Linked DNA regions of Caenorhabditis elegans. The protein of the gene in region 2 interacts with the protein of the main gene of each other region in a pairwise test. Each region holds a gene or a part of one and is shown on either strand. Other genes may lie near its edges.

The links.
Region 1: the proteins of ags-3 (region 2) and dlat-1 interact in a two-hybrid assay, tested with the Caenorhabditis elegans proteins (one study listed by BioGRID).

Annotation. Positions count from the first base shown.
Region 1 is NC_003283.11:14,443,785-14,451,081, reverse strand, and holds dlat-1 (Dihydrolipoyllysine-residue acetyltransferase component of pyruvate dehydrogenase complex, mitochondrial), read left to right. Parts: upstream 1-3,791; 5' UTR 3,792-3,794; coding exon 3,795-4,008; intron 4,009-4,067; coding exon 4,068-4,794; intron 4,795-4,861; coding exon 4,862-5,314; intron 5,315-5,363; coding exon 5,364-5,493; 3' UTR 5,494-5,759; downstream 5,760-7,297. Other genes in the region: F23B12.7 (uncharacterized protein), read right to left, coding at 1-120, 171-316, 366-649, 698-1,202, 1,255-1,368; fntb-1 (Protein farnesyltransferase subunit beta), read right to left, coding at 1,639-1,820, 1,864-2,132, 2,267-2,463, 2,688-2,999, 3,046-3,204, 3,254-3,340; F23B12.4 (ShKT domain-containing protein), read right to left, coding at 5,881-6,005, 6,053-6,203, 6,258-6,294, 6,342-6,417. UniProt on the Caenorhabditis elegans protein: The pyruvate dehydrogenase complex catalyzes the overall conversion of pyruvate to acetyl-CoA and CO(2).
Region 2 is NC_003284.9:5,299,281-5,306,991, forward strand, and holds the start of ags-3 (Tetratricopeptide repeat protein 28), read right to left. Parts: upstream 4,321-7,711; 5' UTR 4,299-4,320; coding exon of another isoform or gene 4,227-4,298; 5' UTR 4,194-4,226; intron 3,392-4,193; coding exon of another isoform or gene 3,312-3,391; intron 2,511-3,311; exon of another isoform or gene 2,490-2,510; intron 2,483-2,489; coding exon of another isoform or gene 2,339-2,482; intron 2,281-2,338; coding exon of another isoform or gene 2,176-2,280; intron 1,939-2,175; coding exon of another isoform or gene 1,854-1,938; intron 1,090-1,853; coding exon of another isoform or gene 935-1,089; intron 848-934; coding exon of another isoform or gene 767-847; intron 495-766; coding exon of another isoform or gene 371-494; intron 314-370; coding exon of another isoform or gene 194-313; intron 1-193. Other genes in the region: ift-81 (Intraflagellar transport protein 81 homolog), read left to right, coding at 194-313, 371-494, 767-847, 935-1,089, 1,854-1,938, 2,176-2,280, 2,339-2,482, 3,312-3,391 and 8 more.

The DNA of each region.
Region 1 (7,297 bases), on a different chromosome or scaffold from region 2:
TTGAATAATGACAAGTAAATTGACATGAGACGACAACAGAGATCCGAGTCCTTTTTCGAAAATTTCATTTGAGAAAGGAACGTCATTGCGTAGAGATGAGCTCGTTCATTTACGTTCTTTCTGAAACATTCATTTTTCTTCTATAAACCACAAGAATTAAAAAAACAAACCTGAAAGCTAATCTCTCAATTTCTTCAACCATAACTATTCTCATTGCTGGATGTTTTCTAGAAATTCCTTCTAGGAGAACAACAGTGAAAGCTCCGATTTTGTAGTTTGGATGTCCGAAAGCATTCACAAGTGCTGAGAGAATAAGCTGAAAAATTCCAAAATTAATTTTTTAAAAATCATTAAAATTTTCCTACATTCTCAGATTCGGGCCGTCCCATCAAACAATTCGCAAGAGTTTTCAACGATCTTTTAATCACTTCTTCCAATGGTCTTTTAATAATTTCAACGAGAGTTTCAATAAATTGTTGGTAAAGAATTTTGAGCTCATGCTCGAAAGCCCACATCAGCAAAATTTTTCGACGCAAACGTTGATTTCCAGATGAGAGCTCGGTGAGCTCTCTCAATGCACGCTTGGAAAATGGAATCAACTTTCGATTTTCTGGGAGACAGTGATTGATGAAAACGTCCTCGAGAATAGCTGAAAAAGTAATAATAATGTCGGAGTTTCAAATTAATTTTGACATACGAATGATGTCAACGACATCTCTGGTTCCCTGCTTTTTGCACGAAGCAATAAGTTTCTCGATATATTCCAAAGAGTGAACGGGAGATTTGTGCATTTGAAGTTGCATTGCAGTTCTCTTATCAGTAGCTGTTCCCTTTGAAATCACTGAATACAACCACGAAGCTTCAGATCCATTATCTTGTTTCTCCTTCGTCTGGAGCAGAGCTGCATCTTGAGCCATCTCATCCTTTCCCTCTTCAAGAAGCTTTTGAATCTCCGATGCATTCATTTTTTCGGTCTTTTCATCATGAACATGATCGATTTGATAGCTATACCATTTGGTTCCTTCTTGATGTTTAACTAGAATACCATCTTGTCCAAGAATTTTCTTGAATTGACGTTTCTGATTAGAGTTTTCCGGGTTCGCAGGTTTATGGGCCACCGGCTTGGCTGCTCCATTTTGTGCTTGCTTCTTCTTGTTCGTGTGCACGGCACCGCTCTCAAATTGAGCCATAATCTTTTCCGCCTGTAAAGAATAATTTTATTAATTAAAAATTCAAAAACAAAAAATCACTCACGCTAGCCAAATTATCTTCTTTCAGCTTCATCTTCTGTGCTTTTCCCAGCTTCTCCGTTGGCTGCTTCGGCTTTGGTTTCGCCGCCAGCTTCATTGGACGTTTTTTCAGCTTCATTACTGACAATGAATAATCTTAAATTGTTTAAAAATACAGTTTAATAAATATAGCACATTGACATAAAATAAATACTTAGAGAAAGTTAACTTGTTATGAAATTTTTGAAGCAGAAAACAAAATTTTGTTACAACTTTATACAAAAATATTTAAAAAATCGGGTGGAAAACATAATTTAGGCAAATATGAATTAAGAAACTCGTATATGGGACGTCTTTAAGAAGCGAGATTAACGAATGAAATCATATTGAAAGGATACATATCGAACGATCAATGAGAAGTGAAGAACTCCTTGGCAAATTGTTCAGAAGCAATGGTCACGTTGAAAACTGGATTAATTTCAGCAAGCATGTTAACATCACCACCAAGTATTTTCCCATCGCGAGCGAGAGAGTACTTCTGAGCAACTGATAATCCTGAGAGAACGTAGCATGTATGGTACAGGTCGACGGCTGAAAATTGAAGTCATTTTTAGTTATAAAAACTGGATCTTACGCTTGTCCGGCTTATCCTTGAATCCTCCATGTACTGATTGGCATCCAACAAGAATGTACTCTTCAAGCATTCGCGCCTCGAAAAGACCTTTCTCCAATGATCGGCCTTCTCGTTCCATTTCTCCGTCCAAAAGTGGGAAGATGGCACCTTGCCAGAAGCTGTAGCATCCATCAACAAGTTTATTTGTTCTTCCCTGGAAACCACCCTCAAATCGCATCTGCCGGCGCGTGGCCCAACGAAGGAGACCTTCCATATCAGCAAGACGGAATCTGGAAATCATCAGGATCAATGATCTTATTTCAAATTCTGAACTAACTTAATTGATATGATTTTATAAGAAAGAACATGTGGTGTTCACGTGATGGTCTGTCTCTTCTCATTTTCAAAGATAACAATAACTGACCTGTTTAACAGAACCAACGAGGCGACCGCGCAGAAAGTGTATCCTCCGTGTGCCTCTGTATACGGTTCTCCTCCGAAACCACCTTCAAAGCTCTGGCAGCTGATAATCCATTCGGCCACACCATTTGATATCTCATCCATAGGTAGGCCCACAATCTCGCATGTTGCTAGTGCACAGTAGGCGCTTCTCATATCGATCTGGAAATGTTCAATTTTCGATAGCTCAGAATTTTTATGATATCTCTGGCAAAAAAAACAACACTAGAGGCAATTCGTAGAGTGTGCAGCAAGGATCCTAAAGTTCTATGCAAGAGTACGTAGAAGTTTCACTCTGAGTAGGACTTCATCAAGTCTATGCAGGAGTTTCAGTACATTTAGAGCTTTTGAACCATTGCCAGAGATATTCATTAATAAATTATTACCTCTCCTCCCTCGTGCATATAAAATCCTCCGCTCTCATGCTTGCACTTCTTCAAAAAATTGAACAGTGTGACTCTGTTGATAGATCGTAGAGCTTCTTCTTTTTGTAGAGACACTAGGCACATGACAGCGGCATACGTTGGAGCCAAATGAGCCAATTGTCCTGGTCCTCCACCATAGCCACCTTCTGGATGTTCACAAGATTTAAGAAAAACAATAATGTTTTCGATAACATCGTTTGGAATTTCTGCGTCCAAAATTTTAAGTGCATTAACTCCCCAGTAGCACATCCATGAACGACTAGCGTCTAAGGTCTAAAAATTGTAATGTTAAAAACCACTTCTCACAAATCAAACTTACTGCGTAGCTCGACGGGCAGTTTTTGAGATATCTGAGCAAATACGAGGCATGTTTCTGACGGAAAATCGTCAATTCGGCGAGATCTTCGTCGCTTGTGGTCTTGAATGGTTCTAACACCAGTGAATTGTAGTTTTCGAAAAGCATTGTTTCAATACGTTTCTGAAATACTCATAATCGTACATGATAATTACATGGCGGGGTTACAAACCTGTTCAGTGCTTGAGTAGGTGAAATTATCATCGTCGTTACACTCATATTTCTCGTTGAACGAACGGAATGGGATCGAAGATGTCATCTCTGTTATAAAATACAATTTTTACAAAAAGAACACATTAGAAAACACACTTCTCTTGGGAAAACCTATCAAAAACATTTTTTTTCGTCGCGAAAATAAAAAAAAATCGGTGTGATAAACAAGGCGCGCGTGTTTAAAACGGAGTGTCGTTGTCCCCGTCTAATTTTTTCTTTTCTCATTTTTCTGAACACTCTTTTCTGATCAGGAATTCTGACGTTTTATCAGTCTGTGATAAAGTTTTTAATCAGTTATTGCAACAAAAACTCTACGAAAATCAGGCGAGTATGCAGAAAGATGATAAAGTTTTCTTGTAAATTAGCTTTTCATTCCATTTAAAATTTAATAACTTTACAATTTTATATTCTTTATTGTTGTTTGCAAATGTGTATTAAATATCTTATTTCTACGTTTTCTTACAAGTATAATTTTGTTTAAACTGAAAAATATTCAGGTAATGTCGAAGTTCCCGGTGCCGTTGAGAACGATTGGTGGGCTTCGTCCCTCGACAACAGCAGCTATTTCTGCCGCCAACATCGGTTTCACACAATCGAGTCGGGCCCTCAGCACCGGAGCTGCCGCCAAAAGCTCAGGACTTGTTGGACAAGTAGCTCGCCAATATCCAAATGCTGCAGCTTTCAGTATTAAACAAGTTCGCCTTTATAGCAGTGGTGAGACTTTTTTCCTATTTATATTTTCCAACTGGTTGTCCACTAATTCCTTTTTTCAGGAAATCTGCCAAAGCACAATCGGGTAGCTCTCCCAGCACTTTCTCCAACTATGGAACTCGGAACTGTTGTAAGCTGGCAGAAAAAAGAAGGAGATCAACTTAGTGAAGGAGATTTGCTCTGCGAGATTGAAACCGATAAGGCCACTATGGGATTCGAAACTCCGGAAGAAGGATATCTTGCCAAGATTCTCATCCAGGAAGGATCGAAGGATGTTCCAATTGGCAAGCTTCTCTGTATTATCGTCGACAACGAGGCTGACGTTGCTGCCTTCAAGGATTTCAAGGACGATGGTGCTTCATCTGGTGGATCCGCTCCAGCAGCCGAGAAAGCTCCAGAGCCAGCAAAACCAGCCGCTTCATCGCAACCATCTCCCCCAGCACAAATGTATCAAGCACCATCAGTTCCAAAGTCCGCACCAATTCCACACTCATCATCGGGAAGAGTTTCTGCTTCACCGTTCGCTAAGAAACTTGCTGCTGAAAATGGCCTTGACTTGAGCGGAGTTTCTGGAAGTGGACCAGGAGGACGTATTCTCGCTTCGGATCTTTCCCAGGCTCCAGCAAAGGGCGCTACTTCAACCACAACTCAAGCCGTATCTGGTCAAGATTATACCGATATTCCACTTTCGAACATGCGTAAGACAATTGCTAAGAGACTCACCGAAAGCAAATCAACGATTCCACATTATTATTTGACCAGCGAAATTCAATTGGATACACTTCTTCAGTGAGTTTTCTTAAATTATTAAAACAATAAACCCGAGTCTTCCTTTCCAAAAATTACCCTTATTCAGGGTTCGTGAAAAGCTCAACGGTCTTCTTGCAAAGGGAACATCGGGACAAGCCACTAAGATCTCAATCAATGACTTTATCATCAAAGCTTCTGCTCTTGCATGTCAACGAGTTCCAGAAGCCAACAGCTATTGGATGGACTCGTTCATTCGTGAGAATCATCACGTCGATGTTTCTGTAGCTGTCAGCACCCCAGCCGGTCTTATTACTCCAATTATCTTCAATGCTCACGCTAAGGGACTCGCCACGATTGCCTCAGAAATTGTAGAATTGGCGCAAAGAGCACGCGAAGGAAAATTGCAGCCTCATGAGTTCCAAGGAGGTACTTTCACCGTCTCGAACCTCGGAATGTTCGGATCTGTATCTGATTTCACCGCGATCATCAACCCACCACAATCATGCATTTTGGCTATCGGAGGAGCATCTGATAAGCTGGTCCCAGACGAGGCTGAAGGGTAAGAGTTTTTAGGAAATTTATCGAGTTATATAGTTTTTGTATTTCAGATATAAGAAGATTAAGACTATGAAGGTAACATTGTCATGCGATCACAGGACTGTTGATGGAGCTGTTGGAGCCGTCTGGCTTCGTCACTTCAAGGAGTTCCTCGAGAAGCCACACACGATGCTTCTCTAAACGATGGCTTTTTCATTGTTTCCCAATTCATCTCACCATCTTCCTCTACCCATTTTGACCCCCGAATTTACTCCGTAAAGTCTCGAAGTGATAGCGTATAACTAGGTCATAATTTTATTATTTCTTTCTTTCTTCACTACAGCCATTTTCGCTTTTATTTTTCTCATTTTTCATGGCATGTTTCCCAGTTAATCGTTTAATTTCTCCGGTAGTATGTGTAAGTGAATTATTAGAAGAAGTTTCCTTTAAAAAATGATTTATTATTTTTGTCTGTCATACAGAAATTTCAGAAACTCGTAGTGTGTTTGGAAAAGCCTAGCGGATCTTTAGTAATAGTGAGCAAAATGTTGAGAGACCCTAGGAAACAATATGCTTCAAGAAACGAATTCAATGACGACGACACAGTCCGCATGTTCTTGCGCAGAACGCCGTTAAGTATTGCTGATGGGATGGTGAAGCACAGAACTGACGCCACTGACTGCATCTTCCTTGAGGATCACGATCAGCGCATTCTGAAGATTCAAAAAGATTCGACAATATCCTAGATCTAGAAACATACGTCCGCCACCGAAAGCCGGCTGTGGCTGCTGGAATACATTTTGCCGCTGAGCAGCAAAACTGTTACTCTGTCCACGTCTTCTTGAAATGAACACATTTTGACGATTAAATGGAGATTGTGGCTGTTGAGCAACAATTCGCTGTCGTGGACGCTGTAAAATTGCAATTATAATATAGATCAGAGAGTAAAAGAAAATATAAAATACCGCAGGAATTGGTCGGAATGTTTGTTGGAACGTTGGTCTGGAAAAAATCAATATTACCGACATTACAATATGTGAAAAACGAACTGTTGTGTGAATGTAGCTTGTGTTGTCGGTGCAGCAGTCACTTGAGCATCTCCAGAAGATCCACGTTGGAAGCCATCTGAACAAGGCAACTAGGACTAGAACACAGGAAAATGAACGCGCTACCACGGAAACCGAAAAACTCAGACATCACTCAACATGCTAAATCAATCAAAAACTGAGCTTTCAAAATATGTTCCAAGAATTCAAAAAACACATTCATTCAACTCAATAATAATATCGTAGCTTCGAAATTTTCTGAAACGCGTTCTCAAAGGGACACAGATTTGTTCCGATGGGTCTTACCACGAATACAAATACAACAGAAATTGAAAAAAAAAATACTGAGATAAATACTGAAACATTATACCTTGCCGTAAAGATAATGCACCAGCGGGTCTCGAAACTATCAAACCTTCGCAGCTACAGTAACCCAAGAATTTAGTTTTTTTTTGTTGCAAAATTTGGCGAGTTTTTCATGATTTTTCAAGAAATTTATAGTTTTAACATTTATAAAATTAATTGAAAATTTAAATACAGAAGGGAGAAAATAGTAAAACGCTTGCGGGTACGGTGGCTACGAAGTTTCGATCGTGTCGAGAGAGGCCCCACGAAAAGGGGAGCAGAACGAAAAGGGGATCTGCAAAAAGGGGATCTGCGAAAAGGGGAGATACGAAAAGGGGAGATACGAAAAGGGGAGCAACGAAAAGGGGATCTGGCACTGTGCCAAACGCTATTTTTCTCGAAGAAAACGATACAACGATGCTCCGATGTTACGCGTCGCGTGTTGTTAAGCGTATCTTCTAGAAGAAAATTTCAAAAATCAACGTGCGTTGCGTGAGAAAAATTGCGTTTTGTGCGTTTGGCACAGTGCCAGCTCCCCTTTTCTAAAACTCGCCAAATTTTGCAAAAAAAAACTAAATTCTTGGGTTACTGTAGCTGCGAAGGTTTGATAGTTT
Region 2 (7,711 bases):
AAAGGGGTATCAGCAGGTCCACTTGGGTAGAATGTTCAAAAAATTCGGTTCTTTCTTATTTGTTTGCAAAATTTCAAAAGTCATAAAAAAATTAAGAAAAATTTGAATAAATTTTTTACAAACACATAAATGCTCTCACTGATAAAATTGAATTTAATAATATAAGAACAACGAAAATTTTTAAAATGTTCAGCTGGGTTTCCGACACGGACCGAATTGATATCAAAAGAGAGGCTGCTGAAGAGACTGCAATTCGTATTCTGAATATGCTCCGAATTCTCCGCTACAGACCACCGCAAGACCAGGATGAACAGTTCGTGCAAAACGAGGGCAATCACTAAACAGCATCTAATTTGACATTATATTACAGGGAAGAATGGCGTGCAGGGATTGTCGAAGGTCGCAAGACTAGCCTCTATCCTCTTCTGGTTTTTCTTTTTGAAAACTCAGAAGGTTTGAAAGAGCGCGCATATTTGTCAAAATATTTGATGAAGGTAATGAATTGCTATGCCAAAAGCCGACATGTTATGCTAGTGGTTTCTGGGGGGAGAGAAATAGATGTTGTCATTATTTTTTTTAAAAGAAAAATGATACATAGAGAACAAGCATCGTTCTGCTTGAATAGCTGATATAGTAGGCAAGACAGCCGAAGTTTTTGGTTTAGTTAGTCTCTGATCTAGGTACACATTGAATTAATGAATCAAGAAATGGCTAAACAGCTTCGCACTTTTTTGTAATTGGAAATACGTAAATTAATTATTTTCAGACAGATGTACCTGGAGAATTCTTCGATTATGATATTGAAGAGCTGCAAAATGAGATTGGAGAGTTGACAATGGAGTTTAAGGTTAATCACATGAGAGATTAGTCGTCACGATAGTGGATGAGCAAAAAAAAAGCAAAAACAAAAAAAAACAAAACAACTTTTCTACAGGAAATCCATGCTGAAATGAAAGGAATAATGGCAGACGTACTCTTGCTTGATGACATAAAAGAGGATTTAAAGTCAATGGAAAAAGAAAAACAAATTTTGCTCCGAAAGATTGAGAAGACCGAGAAGAAAGTGCAGAATATACCATATTTTGATAAGTAAGTTCAAATAATGTGAAAACTTCAAAAAAAAATTGTTCAAAAATAACAGGAAAATGTAGTCAAAATTTAATTAATTACTTGTTTTATGCGAAAAAAAGGAAAATTCGTTTAACAATAGAAAACTAATAAAAGTTTTCACTGACAAGTGAATTTGCTATCTGAATTCATCGTGTTAGAAAACCTCAGAAAAACTGAAAAAGCCCGGCAAATGAGCTCAGATTTTTTTCTTTATTTTTTTTGATTTTTTTTTGAAATTTGTATTTTGCCTGATTTTACATATTTCAAAACATTGAAGGTAAAAAAACAGCTCACTTGAAACTTTAGAGCTGTAAACTTTATAAGCTGATAAGATGGATATTTCCGATCATTCTTGTTAGTTTCTAACACATTTACATTGCTAATATATTTTTAAAGCAATTTTTGAGCAAAGCTTTTGGCCTGTATCGGTATTGCTTTTAAGCTCTGGTTTGACTCATTGTCAAAAAAATTGAATATAAGGCTCATATTTTTACTACAAGTACGATAAAGTCTGCTTCAATCATAATTAAGTAGAAAACAATAAATTTACAAGCTTTTTGCTAAATAACGAGCGCTATGCAAGTGCAGATAGAAATTTGCGGAAAATTGTCCGTTTTTCATATAAACGTAAGTAAGGGAGTTCTTTAGCGTAAATTATAAAAATAAAAAATAAAATAAAATGAATTTAGTATAAAAATAAAACATAAATTTTGGCATTTTTCAAAATAGCCAATCGTTTTCAGACAAATGCAACTTGCATTACAATTACGCGGAGAGAAAACCCGATATGCAGATTTTGCAATTGAAAAACAACAAGAACGGCAGAAGGTTGGTTCTTTGGGAATTCCATTTTTTTATCTCAAAATCAAAAATAGACCGAGTGAAATATTTTCCTTTTTCTTTATCTCCGACGTAATTTTTTTTTGCTCTCCTGACAAAAAATGAAAGAAGAAGTACAGAAATAGCGAGTGCAATTTTTTTGTTCTCGAGTGTGCGGCTTCTTCCTTCTTACTGCGTTTTTTTGGCGCAGCGAGCATCAAAAATCAGAAATTCTTTTCTGTTTAGGTCCTGAACATCGAAGCCAGAATCAACCGAATGAAAATCAATTTGACGGAGGCTCAAGCGGTCGCTGACACATTGGATGAACAGGCGTTAATGGAAAAATTAGAGGTTACTAGACTTATTTTTCTCGTCTTCTCCTATCTAATGACGACAGAGGGTTTCTTAGGACGAAGTTGCGACGAACACTTACTTAGTGAATGGCAAGTTGTTTCAAGAAATTGAATCAAAGGAAAACAAGTTGAAAGAGCTGACAGCCATGGCAAGGTCCAATTCAGTGCGGGAAGAGGATGTCAGTAGAATGAATTCTGAGGTAAGCTTAAAGATACCAGGCTTAAAGATCTCTGCAGATTTAACTTTGGGGAATTTTATGATAAATGTGCAGCCGACAGTATATATGCAACACTGACCTCACGTTTTAATTAAATTACCATTAAAAAAGGAATTAATGCTATTGGAGCACGGCTACTACACAGATACGTTGCCCGAAATACAAAATTTCGAAAGCAAGTTGTTAGCGAAAATTAAAAGTTTTAGCGGGAACTTCAAATTTTCTGGGAAAAAAATTTGGCGAAAAATTTAAGTATTCCGAAAAATTTTTTCGCGGAAATTAAAATTTTCTCGGGAATTTTTTTCTGTGGGATTTTCAAATTTTCTAGGAAAACAAACTTGGCAATAAAGTTTTTCTGAAAAAAATTTTGATAGGAAATTCAAATTTTTTGTAAACAAAAATTAGCGGGAATAAAAACTACATTGATGTTAAAAAACTGCTAGAATGATTTTGCTATTTTTGAAAATGTATACCAAATTTAACAAAAAAAAACATCCAAAATAAAATTGTCGCCCAGCTTAAACGTGGCTGCACTTTTCACTTATTTCCAAGGTGATTACAAAATTAAATGATGTAATTACAGAAAAAAGTTGTATGTTTTAAGAGTTAAAAGCTATTCAAAAGCTTTTTTCAAACGTGGGCAAAAACAAATAACAGAGCCAAAGAGCGAAACAATGGCTTCAGACGTCAGAGAGACGAAAAAATTTTCCAATTTTCGTCTGACCAAAAATATGTTAATTGTTTACTCCCAAGTCATCTTAAACATGGCTGATCAAAGCATGAAAGAGTTATTTTTAAATTCATCATTCAGATAGAGGAAATGTCAAAACGAATTCGAAAACTAGAAGACGAACGGGATCACAAAGAAGTGGATATTGATGAGAACATGAGGTAAGTGCATGCTCATTTTGGTCTAGATGTTTTAAAATTGTGCTTGCTGAAAATTTCAAATTTGTTGTTGTGTTCTTTGTGCAAAAAATATGAAATCTGGTCTGGTTGCTAATGAACAAGGAAAGGCAAATCTAAAAGCGGACAGTGGCATCACTCGGTTTAAAAACATGTGGATGATGATGGTTGCTGCTAAGAGACACAATCTGCGTATTCTTCTATGAGTGTTAGATATTTATTTAGAAAAGAAAATGAATTTGTAAGGGATGCTTCGACAAAAAACTTTAAATTTTTTTATCATTATTAAAAATAATGAAAGTAGTGTATCTTTATTGCGGATTTCGTCTTAAGACACATAATTAACATGACCGAATATGAGCATAATACTCTCAAAACTAAAAAAAAGATTTTTAAAAATTTTCTGAATTATAACTAAAATTTGAAAACTGTGGAACAAATTTTTGTTGACTTTCATTATTAGGACGGAGTTTTTACCATTTTTTGACTGCTCGGAAAATTGTCCTTTTTAGAATACTTCCACTATGATATTTGGTAATTTTAAATTTATTTGGGTAATGTTTAAACAAATACCCACTGACGGTAATCCCTCTTTAATACGCTCAATATAGATCCAAGGTATTTAACTTCCTAGTTTTTTGTCACTTGTTTTTTTTTAACTCGGCATTTCTAGAGCATTTCAAGCAAAACCAGGTGATGAACTTAAAACTTGTGAAATTGCGTTTATCGTATTTTTCCTATACGTAAAACATTAGAATATCTTTTTTTATATTTTCCCAAAACTGACCTTTTTTCAAAAAAACATATGAGGTGTTTTCAGTGTGTTTCGTCATCAAACTTCCCTTCTCGAACGCAAAAAAGAAACAGCGGTGCAGAAATTGCAAGAATTGAGGTAAGTGAGTGTAGATGGGCTTCTTCTCTTTTCGGCTTTTTTTTTCCAAAACGTCCTATTTATTCCACTGGGAGTAGGAAATTGAAAATGGGAAAAAGCGAGAAAAGTGATGGGATTTCAACATTTGATTGACCCCATTTCTCAATTTCCTCAAAAAAAAGATTAGCGAAACCACTTTATTCTTAGAAAGTTTGCAAAAAACTGCAAGAGTTGAGGAAATTAGAAGCTACCGTATTTGCGACCAAATGGACGTGACTTTCAGGCAAGAACTTGCGAAAATTGAGAAAGATGTCGATGAGCGTAAAACCAATCTCAAAGACAAAGTGGGCGGGGAAGTTGTGTCAAATGTTCAGGTGAGGCGAAATAATTTGTAACAGTATAATACTATTTTTTCAGTACCGAAAATATTTAGAGCAATACCGTGTGAAAAGTGAAGAACAAAAAAAGAAAAGGAAGGAAATTGAGTTGATGCATACCGAGGTGGCAGTGCTTAAAAGAACAATTGACATTGTTTCCAAAAGATACAATAAATTGGAAACGCACATTGTGAGTTGCGTGATTGTTGAGTTGAATGTTGAATAGAAAAAAAAACGCGAAACGGCAAAAATATATTTTGGAATTCTTGAAGTTTTTAGTGATCTTTTTCCAGATAGCTGTTTAATAATGAAAAAAAAACTATTTGTGCATTATCAACATCAAACTTTTAAATGTATCAGATACCTCTGCTAACATATGGCAGTTTATGTAATCTCTCACTGAATTATAATAGCAAAATTTCATTCAAATGTATTTGTAGTTACGGCAATCGCTGTTTGATATTACCCAATTGTCGATTGCCAAGCATTTTTTGATTAAAAATGCTGATTGTCAAAAATTAGAATTGCCGAAACTGTGATGATTTTCTACAGTGCTGCGTATGGTAACATATTTACAAACGCTTAACGATACTGATAGAAATAATCACCATTTTTAATTTATTAAATACGTTAACTGCATAAAATTTGAACTTATAATTTTAATTACTTTCCTATACCTCCTGGAATCAGAGAACAAATTCGACCAAGCTCCGCGAATCATTTTTTTCACCATTGTTGCAGAGAGAATAAACAGTAATTCACTTTTTTGCAAACTACTTCCAGCAAGATCAAGTGGTAGGATCAAAGCAGAAAAAACGTGTGTCATATGTATTTACTCACACCTTTTTCTAAACTACTTTGCTACACGAAATTGACACACCTCTCCTATTTCAACAGACAAAACATGTAACAGTTTAATATCATATTTCAAAGTTTACTAATCCAAATTATTTTTATCCTGCGTTCCCGATTTTGCAAGATTTCTGTGGTTTATGTGTCTATCTAATCTTATTTCCAGGAAAGTATTGGCGGAGAAATAGTAGAAGTTTTGAATGTTCCAACGAAATACGATCGTCCGAAAACTGCAGCTCCGCAAACAAATAATGCAGAGGTAAGATAGGGGGGTTTTTTTTTGAAGAAACTGACTAAACTCTTGGTTCAACTTTAATCCAAAAATGTCTCTAAGGTACTATTTTTATTTTTTATGTAATTGACTGAGACATCAAAGTTTTCAAAGTGAGTTTGGAGAATAAGAGAACATGCAAAAGTTTAGATTCAAAAGAAAAAGTCGAACGATAGTTGTAAAGTTTCAAAATTTGAATTAAGGACATAAAATCGGATATGAAAGACATGATGGCTGCACTGGATGAACGAAAAGATAAGATAACAGATCAACGGACAAAGAGAGACGAGGTGAAGTATGTTGTGCAGGTAAGTGACAACTTAATTGACAGATTCTGATTGATCGAGAAATTCAGCAAAAAATGAGCCAGCTGGCTACAATCAAAATGGAAGCAGACCAATTTATGGCTGAACTGGAGCGTGATAATAAGAGATTGGTTGAGGTACGGACTTGAATTTGGAGTATTGTCAGAGGGGATTCGATCTAAATTCACTTTTGATACCGGATATGATACAACACTTTAAAATTTTTTTCGTTTTTTAAAACATTAAGACAAAGTTTAGAAAAATTTCGAGTGTTTCTGAAGATGAAACCTTATAATTTTCAAAAACAAATAGTTAAAACATAATTAGAGTATACAATTGCAGAGACAAAAAGTTTTTACCATTTTTTGATTGCACATAAGTTCTACTACGATTTTTGGTCATTTTAAACAAATTGAGTTTTTTAAAAGATTTTCCCCACAGATGATAGCATGCTCATTTTCAGAATGTAAAAGAACTTGAAACAACTGTAAGAGATTGTGATGACAGAATACCTGAGTTGAAAAATGAGCTGGCGATTTTGTTGGACGATAAAAACAAAATGGAAGGGGTTTCAGGAGAAAACTTGGAAGTGAGTTGACAATTTTCAGCACGTGAAAACAACTATGATAAGAGCGTAACAATGCAAACTTGAAAGCATGCGAAACTCGTGATTTTTGATTTTTTTTTCCTTATAATCGGTATGCAGACATTGAAAAAATTTGATGTTTGCTGAGTGAACCAATTCTTTAAAAGAAAAACGTGATGCATATGAACTCTTTTCAGTTTTAATTCTTCCAGGAACTGCTATCTAAAGCTGCCGAAAAAGAGCAACGAATTGACACTGAAATCGAGGAAATGGGCGATTTCGATGAGAGCCGCATGCAAGCTGAACTTTGGAAGGGACTACTCACCATTTTCGAGACTAAAATTGAGATTTTCAAAGAGAGAGCAAACTCTAGAAACTAATCCACTTTGCAAAATTGACGAGAGAGAGAGGGCAAACAAATTTGGTTTAGTGTTTCATCTCCATTTGTTTAATTTTATGTTTTTTTTTTGGAAAATGAGCCAAAAATAAGATGCGAATATTTGATGTTTGAAAAAAATTACTTATTTTGTAAAGAATTATATATTTGGTAAACGAAACCTTCCACACAATAATAAACTTCTGAATAAATATTTTTTTGGAATCAAGTAAATATAATCAGTTGCAGAGTGACATTTCATAATATTGTCAAAAACCTACATATTGACACAGAAACAGAAAGAATTATGTTAAAATATACTTTCCAACTCTGTAAAATTTAACAATTTCTACTTGTAGAAGAAGTAAAAAAAAATTCTGATAACTTGTCCATTGTGACCAAGGTCTTTGCTGGAAATGCCATCAGACTTTTCCATTGAATAAAATTACTTTGAGCAAGTATTCAGCAATTTTTCCAGGAAAACGTGACGTCGCACATGGATTAACAAGCAATTTTAAAAATATTTGTGATTTCACATGTTCCAAAAATAATCTTGTTAGCTACATGGAGTTCCCGAAAATACGACTTAATGGCAATACTCTCTAGCAGCAACAGGCTATGAAATTTTTATGTTAATTGAAATAAAAAATAGATTAGGGGCCAATTT